4 linked regions of the Solanum lycopersicum genome follow. Each later gene encodes a partner of the first gene's protein in a complex. Links are inferred from orthologs where the notes say so. Each region holds a gene or a part of one and is shown in the gene's direction. Other genes may lie near its edges.

Evidence for each region.
Region 2: transcription initiation factor TFIID subunit 5 (region 1) and transcription initiation factor TFIID subunit 11 share a complex: the UniProt entries of both Arabidopsis thaliana proteins name them as parts of the TFIID complex. The link is inferred for Solanum lycopersicum from reciprocal best matches to the Arabidopsis thaliana genes TAF5 and TAF11.
Region 3: transcription initiation factor TFIID subunit 5 (region 1) and transcription initiation factor TFIID subunit 15b share a complex: the UniProt entries of both Arabidopsis thaliana proteins name them as parts of the TFIID complex. The link is inferred for Solanum lycopersicum from reciprocal best matches to the Arabidopsis thaliana genes TAF5 and TAF15b.
Region 4: transcription initiation factor TFIID subunit 5 (region 1) and transcription initiation factor TFIID subunit 10 share a complex: the UniProt entries of both Arabidopsis thaliana proteins name them as parts of the TFIID complex. The link is inferred for Solanum lycopersicum from reciprocal best matches to the Arabidopsis thaliana genes TAF5 and TAFII15.

The regions. Positions count from the first base shown.
Region 1 is NC_090805.1:43,576,758-43,580,892, forward strand, and holds the start of transcription initiation factor TFIID subunit 5, read left to right. Parts: upstream 1-1,317; 5' UTR 1,318-1,667; coding exon 1,668-1,858; intron 1,859-3,031; coding exon 3,032-3,113; intron 3,114-4,135. UniProt on the Arabidopsis thaliana protein: TAFs are components of the transcription factor IID (TFIID) complex that is essential for mediating regulation of RNA polymerase transcription.
Region 2 is NC_090804.1:5,061,213-5,065,424, reverse strand, and holds the start of transcription initiation factor TFIID subunit 11, read left to right. Parts: upstream 1-1,392; 5' UTR 1,393-1,600; intron 1,601-2,861; 5' UTR 2,862-2,869; coding exon 2,870-3,186; intron 3,187-4,212. UniProt on the Arabidopsis thaliana protein: TAFs are components of the transcription factor IID (TFIID) complex that is essential for mediating regulation of RNA polymerase transcription.
Region 3 is NC_090805.1:50,539,667-50,541,842, forward strand, and holds the end of transcription initiation factor TFIID subunit 15b, read left to right. Parts: intron 1-1,063; coding exon 1,064-1,184; 3' UTR 1,185-1,617; downstream 1,618-2,176. UniProt on the Arabidopsis thaliana protein: TAFs are components of the transcription factor IID (TFIID) complex that is essential for mediating regulation of RNA polymerase transcription.
Region 4 is NC_090811.1:67,585,582-67,589,742, reverse strand, and holds the start of transcription initiation factor TFIID subunit 10, read left to right. Parts: upstream 1-1,352; 5' UTR 1,353-1,724; coding exon 1,725-1,823; intron 1,824-1,902; coding exon 1,903-1,967; intron 1,968-3,082; coding exon 3,083-3,145; intron 3,146-4,161. Other genes in the region: protein GLUTAMINE DUMPER 2, read left to right, coding at 1-332. UniProt on the Arabidopsis thaliana protein: TAFs are components of the transcription factor IID (TFIID) complex that is essential for mediating regulation of RNA polymerase transcription.

The DNA.
Region 1 (4,135 bases):
TAAACAATCATTTTATACATTTCCTCAAATAATTATTGTTTAATTATCATCATCATATTTAAGACTTTTGAATTAAATAAAGTCCTTATTTGATTTAAGTAAGAATTTATGATATTTAAACTTCTAAATTAATTACCATTTTACCTTTTATAGTCAAACTTTACCAAAAAAATACAGCTGTTTCGTCTACATCAACATTTTTTTCATTTAGGTTTTGATTCAGGTTGCCTTCTTGCATTTGTTATCATCATCCTTCATTCAGGTTTCGATTCAGGTCTACCCCTTTTGAACAATTTCTTGTGTTTCTATTTCAGTTGAAAATTTGGAGAGAAGAAGCATGTCGCAGCCGCCGAAAAGATCAAATTAAATCTATCATGCAGGACAAATCAAAGGTTTATCTCTTTTCTTTTTCCACCAATCTTTTTCTACGGAAATGGTGGTTCTTTGATTGCCGCAAGATTTACTCCTTTTAAATACATTCGATAGTTTTTCTGCCATTTAAAATGTAACAATATATAACATTATTATCATAGTAATTTTTGTTAATTTGATTATTGCTCTTTTTTCTCTCTCTCTAAATGTTTTCTTAGACTACAAGTATTTGTAATAAATATTTATTTTATTATATTTGATTATAGTTAAAATAAAACAGATAAAAAGATCAAATAAGTAAATGATTTATATACGACGTGGCGTTGAATGCAAATACAAAAGAAAGAGAATGGAATAATAATTGACATTCTTTTTTGGTCAATAGAATTTAAAAGATTAATCATTTTTTTTTTTTTGAATGTGAGGAGTTTCTGATTAGCCAACAATCCACCCTATAAGCACAGTTCATGTTACCATCACTTGATGAAATTTACATTTAAGGCTAGGTGACGCCTTCTTATCACATAAGACTCTGAAAATAAAACTTCCACTTTCTCAATCTCATATCAATACGTTGGGTGTTACTTGTCAATCTTTCCGTTTTTAGATAATACATCCAAAATACTTGAAACTATCTCTCTTTTGGATGACTAGTATATCAAGTCTCACTTCTCCACATCAGCCTCATGCACCACATTGTTAAATTTGTACTTTGAGTATCCAATTTTAGTCATGTCCTCAGCCCGAATCATTCACTGTAAAGTCTATTTATAAATCTCTATGTGAACGTTAACTCCGTCGCTAGTCTCACCAATCAAAATTATATTATCTGCAAATAACATATACTGTGACACCCCACCTTAGATCTGCCATATTAATACATTTTTTAAATATTAATTCTTAGTAGTATTTCAAATATACATGATTATATACTATTGTCTCACCGGTTCACATTAGCATAAAAAAGTTTGCATCTTTTGACTCTAGTTTGTTGTGATAATCTTTGATTTTTGCTTCCGAAGATAAATAAATTTCTCACAAAATAATATATTATGTCCTTAAAAAACTTATTCTTCACTAAGCATATGGGTCCATTTAAAGGGCAAATCTTGTGATTAAGAGAGAAATTGGAGCCTAACCAAAAAAATATAAAACAAAACACCTTCCATAAACAAAGTGACGACGACGTCGTATTAAGTCCCTCCAGAAACCCCAAATCAAAATTCTCGGTCCTATAAACCCCAGGTGTTTTCTTCTTCTTCTTCCCAATTCTCAAAATCTTACCATTTCTCGCCATGGATGAAGAAGAGATTGAGAAAGCAGTCGTAGCGTATTTGAAGAAGAAGGGTTTCAAGCAAACGGAGATTGCTTTTCAAGAAGAACAGCAAGTGAATAAAAACAGTTCTTCTTCAATCCATAATAACAACAACTCAGCAAATTCTCAGATTGACCCCGACTTAACCAAAAAAATCCTTTCTTTCTCTGAGTAAGTTTCTTTTTTCCACTTAATTTGATGTAAAAATTACTGTTTGGCTAAGAGGATTAAGTTCTAAAATCAATTTACCTTGAAAGATAGTTTAATTTCAATGAAACACGTTTAAGTAGAGAAGGATTGAGTACAGAAGATCTGAAAACTAGTTTAGGGTTGAGAGGTGACTTGGTTGTTGGAAGAAAAGCAGGAGCAATATAATTGAAGCAGTTTTTCTGCACCCTCCAGTAGCATTTCTGCAAATGCCCAAATTGACCCTGAACCGTCAGACAAAAATAATCTGTTCTCTGTAGATAACATAAATTTAATTACTGGACCCATTCTAAAGAGGGAGAAATCAGCACTACTTGGTGAAATAGGTTCTTTTTGAATCAATTGTCCTCTTCTCCTGTATTTTAAATGCAGAGTGCTTAGCCATGAGGTTGCGGTTCTAAATAGCATTGACAATGCCCAGAACCACTTTTGAGGTACTAGCACACTGTCTAGGAATTGGAAAGAGAGGATCAAAGGAAATTTGGCGGAAGAATATCCCTGTTTGTATCTGGTGGACGTTATGAAAAAAAAAGGAATGAGAGATATTATGAAGGGAAGGGTAGCAGCACACAGAAGATCAAGATGAGATCTCTTAGTATTATATTTTTTTGGTGTAAGCAAGATTTAGTGGGGACAATAGATAGCTTAGTGGAGATTATAGGCCAACTGTAAATTTTTGAAAGTTTGTTTTTGGATTTTGAGTATGATGGCATCCCCTGGGGTTTGTAAATTCCTCCTCATCAGTCTGATGAGTTCTTTTGTGCGGATTTAAGTTACCTATTTCAAAATAAATAAATAAATAGAGGGGATGTAGAGGAGGATTTATGAGCTGACCCAAAGTCTCAAACTGTTTAGGATTGAGGCTTCATTAGTTGTTTCAAGAAGGGAAGCAACAATAATTGTGTGTTTGGTATGGAGGAAGCTTTGGTGTTATTTTACATTCTATTAGTGACATTACACTTTGGAGCTTCCTACTTTTAGAATATTACAGATATAGATGGATAGATGTTATGGCTCCGTTTTCACACCGCCTTACACTAGCTGGAAGTCTTGACAGCTGTATAACGCATACTTTCTGGTTATTTTCTTAGCATGCATCTTTGATATCATTCTGAATCTAAATTTTTATGTTTTCAGATTTGAAACCAGTCCCCAACGATACCAAGAAGAATATAGCAAACTTCGGTCATGGGCCTATAGTTCACTGGATCTGTATAAGGTTGGTCCCCTGACTTGTGCTAACAGTAACATGAGAAGTAGTTTATGCAGTATCATGATGCATAGCTCCTCATGACATGTAATGCACTAATAATAGGTCTGCCACCAGTAACACCATAGGAAATAAACATAAATGGAAAGGAAAGGCTTTCATTTTCTCTTTTATTTAGCCCTTTTTAATCCTTAACATAATGTATTAGTGATGTGCACCTTGACCTATTAATACTTCTGCTGCTGTCTTTCTGGCAGTGACAAGGTCTTCAAAATTGAGTTCTCATATTTGTGATTCTCAACTCTAGTTCATTGACTTATGCTATAAATGTAGCACCAGTGATGGATTTAGTACTGTCTTCTACCATTGCGATCATAATAGCGAGCCAAAAATAGCTCTTCATAACATAAGCATGACAAGCGTGCCGTCTTCATACAAGTTAGGTTGTGTGATTATACAAGCCAGATGAAAAAGTGATGAAAATGGTTCCATATGTTTGGTAGGTTCAAGTTGGTCCCTTAATACTCTTGAACAATTTTGGTCCTTTAAGTTCACCAAAAGCGAAAACACCCTTTGGGGGGGGGGGCAGTGGTTTGGGCTTGGGGCTTCCATTTTGGAGGTTTCAAGTTCGAAACCCCTTGCTAGCAAAAGCAAGGGTCCAGTTTAGAAAATCAAGAGATAATTTACCTTTTGTGTCCTTTGTTATTAAATACTATTTATCATCTAACACATTTTCCAGAGCATTAAATTTAATAAAGTCAAAGGATAAAATAGTAATGTTACCGCTATTATTTATTGTTTCTTAAGGGTGTGCTAAGTCAATAGTAGACAACTATTGTTGGACCAAGGGAGTAACATCTATAGTTTCAACGTTTGCCAGCTTGCTAATTTTGGTTTATTTTTGGAGGATGGTGCAGCTTTTGAAGTGCAATTTTGCCATCTTTTAATATCTATTGTGTGGTATATGGTTCAATTTTTGGTGTTGCAATTTTCAAGATAGGACAGGACTTTTTGGTGTTTTTGGTTGGATA
Region 2 (4,212 bases), on another chromosome or scaffold:
ATTTTCTTTCTTTTAATAATAATCACGATAAATAAATTAAACGGAGAAAATAACTCAAGATCTAAAATAGTAAAAGAAACAAAAAAAAATTCATATCATGATGCAACCAACTAAATATTTTATTGCAAATGTTTCATCATGTAAGCAATATCAAATGAGACATTTTTAATATAATTTTTTCAAGGTTAATACTTGCCACTTGAACCACTATCTTCATGATCAATAGAATGTGCGTTGAGTGAGCTGCATACACATGTTCCATCAACACAAATACATTTTGGAAACATATTTTCATGATTGTTACAATCATCTGTTGTGCTACATTTTCTCATGCCTGTCGCCACATCTAAAAAGTTATAAAACAATTGTTAACATTTTATAATACGTATTGACAAAGTAAAGAACTACAAAATCAACTGATCTGAAGGAAAAATGATAAGAGGAAAACAAAATAGACTAACCACAAGAAGCAATCAAGAAAGCAACAACAAAAAGTGCCATAATCGAAGTTTTGTCCATCTTTTTGTAAAATAATAAAACCTTTAAGAATTTTAGAGTGTTTCTTAGTTTTTATCGTACACAACCTTATATAGCATTTAGCATTGAAAACTTTCAAAAGAAAAAAATTTATTACAATAGTCTTGTTTTAGACTTTTAGTGATTTTCTTTTATAAATTTCTTGATTTGATTAATTGGTCAACAAAATTCTTTGTACTTAGTCAAAGAAATATTAAAATTCTAATTACTAACCATAAAAGAACAAAACTAAAAATGTTTTTAAAGTATGTGATATTCATTTAATTTGCTCTCCCTTGTATATGGGCCAAAATGAAAATAATTTGGTTAAAATCCTAGGCCCATTACTAAAAAACCATCTGTGATTTGTTTGGCCACAATTGCAAGAAGGTAAATGAAGGGTTGCGTATCGATTTCGTTTGATTTGAGGTTTATTGGTTATTGATTTAGAGATGTGCTAAATTATTTTAGAACTATTAAAATATTAACTTATCAGTTATCGATTTATTAATTATCAACTGTTATTGATTTGGTAATTTGTTTAACCGTTAAGATTTGATTTAAAATAATCACTTAAAAATACTGTGACGAACAAAATGAGTGGACATGTAAGTTCACATATCACATCACTGTTGAATAATCGAGAATTTGAGACACTCAAAAATAAAAAAGATAAATTTATATAGTAAATCAAGGACATTATCTACTAAATTGTATAAATATAATTCTTTAATTTACAATCAAGTTATTAGTTAATCCATTAAAAAAAATAATTTCAAATCATTAAAACTAATATCTCACTAATTAAAAAAAATCAAAATCGTTATTAAAACCGCTAAATCAATAATTTATTATCAGAGGCAATAACCTTTTTTTATTGGGATTATCTGTTTCCGTCCGCTTGAACTGCCCTAATTCATGAATCCAATCAAATCCGACCCGACCCGACCCATGAGCTAATCCAATTTAAACCCACAACCACATCAGCGAAATCGACCCGTCAAATTTCTTCAGACCGGCCGCCGGCACGCTCGCCGGAATTATCTTTGGTGAGAGATCAGTATCACAGAATTTGGCTCGCCAGGTATTTTTCTTTCTATTTGGATTGATCAATTATGATTTTGCCTAATATTGCAATGAACAATTTTTTTGGATAATCGTGGTGTCCGGGCTAGCTTTCGTGCAGTTCAATTGTTTGAAATCAGCTGGAAATCTTTCCGTTTATGACCTATTTCATGCTACAGCTGTTCACATACCTTAGATTTGTTCCGTGTTTATTTCGTTGGCAGAACCGATCCATTCCATTAGGGGAGGCCTGTTTCATGCTATAGCTGTTCACACTTTAGTTTTGGAAATGTTTTTAGGTTAAATCACATGCAAAGCTTGAATCTTTAAGGGTTGTTTGGTACAGGGAATGGGATAGACAAAGTTATCCTACCATATATATGATGGGATAAACAATCTCGGGACTAACTAATTTCCCTAACCAGATGCAGGATAAAATAGTCCTGCATTTTGTCTCGGAATTGTTATTCCTTATCCATCATACCAAACGACTCCTTATAGTCTTAGTTTTGTGACTTAGGATGTACCGGGAGGATGTCTTTGTATACCCACCAGGGCTTTGGTTATTGAGTGATGTGGTGGTTAGGCGTAAGTTACGTGTTCAAACCCTTTTGTTGGAAAAGCCTGGTATTTAAGTGGGAAGGGTAAAGGAATGAGCCCATTATACACCACAACAGACTGCAGGATCCTATCGGTTATGAAAAAGAAGAGAGGATATCTTATCATTGCTTCGTTGATGAAAATTTAACAGGGCAATAACTGCAGTTATATAACAAAAAATGTACCAGCGCAAGTAGACAACTACTTAACCTTTTGGTCTCACTTGAAATAGTACATTGTTTTTTTGTTGAAACTGATAACATGAAATAGTACAGTATTTGTCTTCTATATTTCATTTTTATCTTAATCTAGACATATTGAAGGATGGTGTAGCTTCTAGTTCAAACTTCAACAATGTTTCTTTGACATTGTTGCTTCATCCTTATCTTTACTTTCCTTCCTTCCGAATGCTTTAATCTTTTTCATCCTTGCAATGATCATTTGATTTGAGAATATCTGAGCTGCATCAGTTCAACTCCATTAATTTATCAATCGACCTGGTTGGAGAGTGTGGCCATTTTGTGAGGTCCAAATCAATCTAGTTATAATTTACCATGCCTCCCTAAAAAATTGTCTTGAACATATCACATTATTGTGTTGGAAGTTGGTATATCTCAATCAAAATGGATGAATGATTAGCATGGTGAATAATTTACTTGAATCTAAACATTCTGGTGCAGCGAATTCTATGAAGCGATCTAAGGATCCTTTTGAGGCTACTTTTGAGGAGCAGGATGACTCACCCCCTGAATCCCCTGCTGGAACCGATGAGAATGAAGGCCAAGATCAAGGTGCAGTTGGTGTTAATATGAATGAAGGTGACGATGTTAATACCGATTCTCGTGAAAAACCTTCAACATCTAAAGCTACATCAGTCTCTGTTAGTACTGCTGGTCCAATTAGCAAACCCAAAGAGGAAGATGAGGAGGAAGAGGAAGAAAGCATGGATGTGCAGTTAGGAAAACTCTCATCAAGTAGTGATCCTGACAAACTGGCGAAGATGCAGTAAGTTTGTCAGTTTATGTTTTCAAATATCTCGAACTCTTTCTGTTTACAAGGATTCCATTCACAGAAGATTGTCAAGATTGTATGCTATTATCCTGTTCTGTGATAGCTTATGTGGGTGGTTGGACCTGCCTACTGATCAATTTGCATAAAAGAATAACTCCTTTTCTGATGATTTCTATCCCTTCCTCTCACCTTCCTTTCTTTCCTTGTTGATTTGTTACTCAGACTATTAATTTAACTCTCTTTTGTATGCTGTATTCCCTCAGTATATCTGCTGTATCATTTTTTTTTTAACAAAAAGTATGTATATATAACCAGCAGGTCAATGCTTCTATTGAGATCTGTGAACAGATCTCATCTAGCTTGATATGCTTGATTTACTGCAGATAAACACCAGTAGGAAATATAGTAGCTGTTAAATAATAAATTGACATTTTGTATCAGCATTGTTAAGTAAGGGCAATATGGAGAATAACTAATTTAGTATGGAAGAAACCATATTGTGGTCAAGGCCAATAAAATGGGAATTGTACATTGCAGTTATATATATACTTGTTATGCTAAAGTTTTTCTTCTGCACCTCCTTGTTAAACAACAATATACCTAGTATAATCCCATAAGTGGGTTCTGGGAGGGTAAGATGCACGGAGACCCTACCCCTACCTTTGTGGGATAGAGAGGTTGTTTGGATACATCCCTGGCTTAAAAGGGAAGCTATTCATTGAAGGGTTGCAATAAGAAAACATGAAAACAAAATATCAGGACACATAGCAAAATGAAGCAACAAATAGTAGAAACACATAGAAAAATAAGAAACTATGCGAGTTACTAAATACTACTACTAATAAGGAGAAGAGGATATGGCATTGCCTCTCCCACCAAACGGGCGACCACACGCGGCTACCTACTAAATTTCTACTCTAATGCTCGACCTCCAGGCCTTCCTATCTAGGGTCTGCACCTCGTTTTTACGTGAGCTCAGTTTAGAATATTTTTCTATCCTATAATCAGCAGCGCTCTACC
Region 3 (2,176 bases), about 7.0 Mb from region 1:
GCATTTTACCTCCAGTTGTGCTACAATTCACAGTTTATGTCAACTCACAACATGTCTTAGTGGTTATGCTGTGGAATGTATGCAGAGTTAGCAAGTGTGTTTAACTAGATAGTGGATGTATGGTTATTTTTATGAATTCTCCAGAGTTTTGGTTGTTTATCAAGTAGATGATCAGAGTTGTTCTTGCATCTGATGTTGACTCTAATTGCTGTGCCAAATTTCATACTAAAGTTGCATGCCTAAAATTCATACTTGATCGCATAGGGTGTCTGTATTGAAGTTTAATTTCAATAATTATTTTCAGTAAATTGTTAACATCATTGATACATTGATTTGTTCCCAGAGAAAAGCGAATTAAGCAATCAAATTTCATCTCTATAACTTGGTACTACATTTGTCCTTTATGAGGTGCATGGGAACCCGGTTAATCATAATTGTGTGGCTTCATTAGTAAACATTTTTTCTTTATCCTGCAAAAATATATTCATCAGCATCATCTATGTATATTTCAATGTAAAACTGTAAAGTTACATATTTCAATAGTGCTTTCAAGAATTAGTGTTTTTGTAATTTTTTTTGCATGTTGTATGTTGTAATTGTGTTTTTAATCGATGTCCATTTTTGCTACTTGAAAATCCACTTGCTGATTGACACCCTATGCATTCTTCCTGCCCTATGTTCTTTCTATTGCCATTTAGAACTGTTTATATATTTTATTGGCTCAAGGTTTAGAAAATGTTTAATCTATTGGATTGAATGAAGAATATGTTGTTTCTTTTATATTATATAGTTCCATCGGGTTAATGATATATTTGGCTGGCTTTATTTAAGCTGAGGGTATATCGGAAACCACCCCTCTATTTCTACGAGATAGGGTAAGGTCTGCGTAGTCTACTACCCTCCTAGACCCTCTTGTGGGATTGCACTGGTTATGTTGTTATTTGTTGGGTTAAATTTATAAATGGGATGGGGGACCTTTTGTGTATGCTGAACTTACGACTCCCTGTGCTAACCTGTATAGTAAATATATCTCTTATGCTCATGTCTGTCTATACTTTGACAGCCGTGGCGGTCGCGGAGGTTATGGTGGTGGTGGTGGCGGGCGCAGGGATAACTACAGAGACGGTGGAGGTTCCGGCCCAGATAGACAGTTTCATGGTGGAAATCGTTCACGTCCTTATTGAGTTCCAGTCGAGCATTTTATGTACTAAAATTTGTGGTGGGAGGGTTTTTTAGTTAGTTCCATTTCAAGATATACTCTCTGTGACTTAAAAGAGGTAGGCTGTTAACTCACTTCCATTTGAGCAATATCCACCTTCTCTTCTTTCTTTCTGCTACTTGGGGTTGCGTAAGGGGTGGGGTTTTCTAGTTCAGAACCTTTTTTGATATGTTGAATGTTTTGATAGAGGCGATTGGATATTCTGCAAATTGCTGCTAAGGTAGGTGAAATATTCAGGTGAGTGTTACTACTGTGGAAAACCGATTACTCTGGTAATTTAAGCTGAATGATGTTTGGTCTCTTTAAGTGATTTTGCTTGCATTTTGGAAATGCTAGCATCTCTGCACTAGACCCCTTGTATAATGAATTTGTTTCCTATATGATGTTGCTGTTAATTACTTGTACTGTTTTCTTTTATTGTGTATCTGCTAGTTCAGTTTCTCTTCCATGGAAGAATATGGAGGACAAGTCTCTTGTACTAAACACATTTTTCAGCATGAATGGCGGAGTACAATGGTGAAGTACTTGGTAATTTAATTGTAGGGATTAATGTTTGGATCAGAAAAAAGACATCCGACCACACAGCTATACAAATAATGATGATGTGTTAGTTACAATTTGAGAAAACAAGACTGTAAATTGATTGTTTGGTCTGAGTGCTTGCATGTTGGTTCTCAATCTATTCACAGGAAATAGGACCAGTGTCCAATTTTTTTGTCGTTCTAAATAAAATTCCGAGTGGCAATAGTTTTTCTTTGTGTGGAGCATACATTGGAAGTAGCTTGAATTTTCATTTTGGTACTTCTGCAGGTTTTTTGTACCCCATTTTTAGCCATGTGTCTGTTTTTATCATTTTCAAATTTGGTACAACAAATGAGTACTTTTTAGTGGGTAGTAGGATATTCTAGTTGTATGACCTTGGCTTATTCTATTATTCATACTATTCAGTCAATTAGC
Region 4 (4,161 bases), on another chromosome or scaffold:
TAACTTTTGCTTTAGTAATCCTAGCTTGTTCTTACTGGAGACGATCCGGCTATCCGAGAGAAAACGGCGATGTAGAATCCGGCGACGGCGAGAAATCGACCGGTGATGTTTTCAAGGCGTCGCCGGTTTTTGAGGAGAAAATAGTTGTGATAATGGCTGGAGATTTGAATCCAACTTTTTTGGCTACGCCTATTTCGAGTAGAGGTAATTCGTTTGGTGCTGGTGATAAAATTGAGAAGAAATTGGAAAAGGAAACTGAAGAATTTGATGATGAGAAGGCGAAAGATGAAGCTATGGATCAAGCTCATGAAGAATCTCAAATCGGCCATTGATGAAGCTACTGAGCTTTGAAAAAAAAAAAACAGAGCAATTTTCTCTATTTTTTTTTTTGAGTTCTTCCATTTTTGGTTTAATTTTTCAATTTTGAGATTCGGGAAATTGTACTCAATTTTGGTTGAGATAACAAAGAGTTAGAAAAAATTTTCGTTTTCGAGTAATATGTTTTCACGGAAATTGTTACTTCGATTTGATACGTGTTTTATTAGCTAACGATAATCATAAGAGTCATTTTGCTAAAAAATAAATAGATCGTTTTTAAATTTTTCAATGAAAAAAGTAAAATTGATGATATATTTTTAATATAATGAATGAAAAGAGTAGAATCAATTATATATCGATTTAGAAAATGAATTATTTGAAGAATCTCGAATGTATGTGCATATGTGACGTTTGCGATTTTATATCTATTGTGATTTACTAATTATATTTGATAATTTATAGTAATTAAATATGATTTAAAAATCATGCTTATTCATGCAATTTATAGGTCGTATCTATCGAATATGATATATAGTTAATCTATAAATTGAGTTACTATTAATATGTAATTTATAAATTATATTTATCTAATATAACTTTCAAATGATGCAAATCAAATGTGATATTAGTCATATTTGTGAAACATGATTTATAATCGTGCTTACCAAATCATTCAAGTACCAATTAAGTTACTCAATTGTATTGTAATTAAATTAGTTATCAAATAATATCCAAATTGTTTACTCAATAATAATATAATTCATTTTAATCTTCTATGATAGAGAAGAATAAAATGGCTAACATAAGTGATTATGAGTGTGTGTATATATATATATATATATACTTCAATGTAAATTTTAATTGCGTTTGGTTTGATAGAGAATAAAATAATTTAATTATATTTTTATTTTATAATTTTTTTAAATGTTATGAACTATCAAATTTAAAAAATAAAATAAAATATAATTTTTTTTTTTACGAAATATTATCGTTAGCTAGGTAAATATATATGCCCCTCTTCGCGAACGAATTTCACATAACAAAAATACAATTCTCCTCTATCTTAGGCCTTTTCTCATTTTTTTTCTTTTTTGCACAATTGTGGAGAAACAATTTTGAATTTTAAAAAATAATCAAAATTATAATATTTCTATATCCTAGAAGGAAAATAATATTACTTTTTCAATATGTGAGTTTAAAAATAATTTTTATATATATTTTTAAATATTTTAAATTATCGTAACCATAGTAATTTTACTTACCTATTACTAGAATATTTTTCTTCAGTTTCTTCTTCCGATTTTTTTCTCAAAGTAAAAAGGCACAAATCTTCCCCAATTTTCCTCCGGCGAAATTGAAACTCCGACCACCGCCGATCCTCCGTTGACTCTGTTTCGACGGTGAAGATGAACCAAAGTCAAGGTCAACAAACAAGTGAAGGAAGACACGAGGATGATGCTGTTCTAGCCGATTTCCTTGCTTCCTTGATGGACTATACTCCCACTGTGAGCTACTTTTTGCCCTTTTTCTTACTGAAGAGATCAATTTTATGTTTTATTTATGTAGGTTAACGCTTTTGATCAGATTCCTGATGAATTGGTGGAGCATTACTTGGGTAAAAGTGGATTTCAATGTCCTGATGTTCGATTGTATGTATTTTCTTCCCATTCTTATGTTGATGTTTCTGCAATTTAGCCTGCTTAGATTAGTTATAGAAAAATTGTTTGGATTGCTCATAAGGAAGATATGATTTTCGTGTGTTTATCTAGAACTATTTTCACTAGGTTTATCCTCTGTCTTGAGCTAACCGTAGTCTTTAAACTCGAATACGATGAACGCGCTCCTCAACCTACGTTTATTTTGCTTGGCGTAGCGAAAGCTCTACACTTTTGCCAAGTGAGCTAAGCCCTGGGGGTTCAAAGGGAGATATTATGTTACTGCAGCAAACAAATAAATTGGGCAAAGGTGCCCATATAATGATGTAAAATCCAGCTTGGGAGGATGTCCTCCCAAGATATTTCCTTCAACGAAGTAATAGAAAACTTAGCTGAATTATGTGCTAGTTTTGTTTAGACTTCTCGGAATATGAACAAAGTCTACATGATCAAGCAAGCTCTTAGCTTCCAAATGTCTTCACAAGTCACCTCTATCTCCCATGAGGTAGTTAACTTTTTCCTGAATCATAATCAATAACACTCTTTGCTTCCAATAGGATTCTCACATCCTTCCAATTGTTCCTGATTGTACGTTCAAGAGCCACTCTTAAAGCAAGTGCTTCAACAGTCATAGCTTTTCCCGCAAACTGGATTGGGGAAACATGGGCATGAATCAGTTTTCCAAGGCTTTCCAGAGCTGCAACACCAATATTTGCCAGTCCAGTATCCACCTGTAAACCTGCATCAGTAAACAATAATATAACATCTTGGTGGGTTGTTGGTGGAGCCGCAAGGCAATACCCATTTTTATGAAAATTAGATGAGCAATTAGCTGAATATCTTTATACTCGTAGCAATCAAACAGTGACTAAGCGGCAGTATTCTCTAGTTCCGTTTTTGTTTTGATCGTTTTCTATTTATCTGGTTTAGCAGTAAATTCAAGTAAAATTTATATATCTGTGAATTGGATTGGTATTTACCTTTTTACAAGTTGTAAATTTTAATATTGTAGCATTTGATGTTTTGTTTGACAGTGATGGCTGGTTTATCTTATGTTATCAGTTTTTAATACTGTGTTGTTGTATTGAGTTTTTCCTTTGGATATGCAGAATAAGGTTGGTGGCAGTTGCTACTCAGAAGTTTATTGCAGATGTGGCTACTGATGCTCTCCAGTATGTTTCTTAATTATTTTATTTTTCTTGAATTCTGTTTCCTCCTCCATCTTATGTTAAGTATGCTGCTAATTCTTCGGCATATTGCTCATCGATTGTCCCCTACTCTTGAGGCTTCAATGCAATTGTTGCCTGTCTAGGTGTTTGTCATTGTATGATCCTTCCAACTTTTAAGTGTTCAAGTTGTTCTCCTCCCCCAAACCTTAAAAAAACTCTTTTTGGTTCGTCTCTAATGAATTAGAAACATTAAGTTGGTAATTTTAGAATCCAAGCCTGTTATATTTTTAAAGACTGCCGACCCTAACTTGACTACACTACCAAAAATACAACACCTGAAATTCTCTATTGTTAGCGCAATAATACTACTACCTCAGGAGATTATTGTGTCTGTGACACTCCAAAACCTTAGAAAAGAGACAAAGAAACAGAAAAATACAATATAAAGAAACTAAGATATGACTTGAGTAGACATGTAGAAAGACCTTGTTTCAGAATATATGATTACAAATAACAAAGCATCCAACTTTCTCTGAACTTCCTTTCTTAATGTTTCCAATGGATTGTTATTTTCCTAATGCTTCTACTGGATTGTGGTAGATCTTCTCAACTGTGACAAATCAGTTGTGTTTTGTTTCGTTATCGACTCAAGATTTTGTGAATGCCTCACTTTACTCACTATTTTGCCTTCACTAGTCGTAATGAAAGTAAAACTCATGAAATGCTGTGAGTCTTTTGAGGATAGATTATGGCTTTATCATCGGAAGAAAGAATAAGAGTTTATGAATGGTCTCTTATGTATCCTTCATGTTTAGAAAGAAATGGATATTTATGAAACGGGCCATTCCAATAGAGAAACAACATAATGCCAGTGGTTGAAAGCAGGCAGGTCGATGAAAGTTAGGATATATCAGGAGCAAGGGGTATCTCCATTGGTATTCTGTGTAGAGACTAGAAATATGGTTGAGACAACAAGATGGCAGTGGTTGAAGGAAGGAAAGTTGATGACTTGTGGGTAG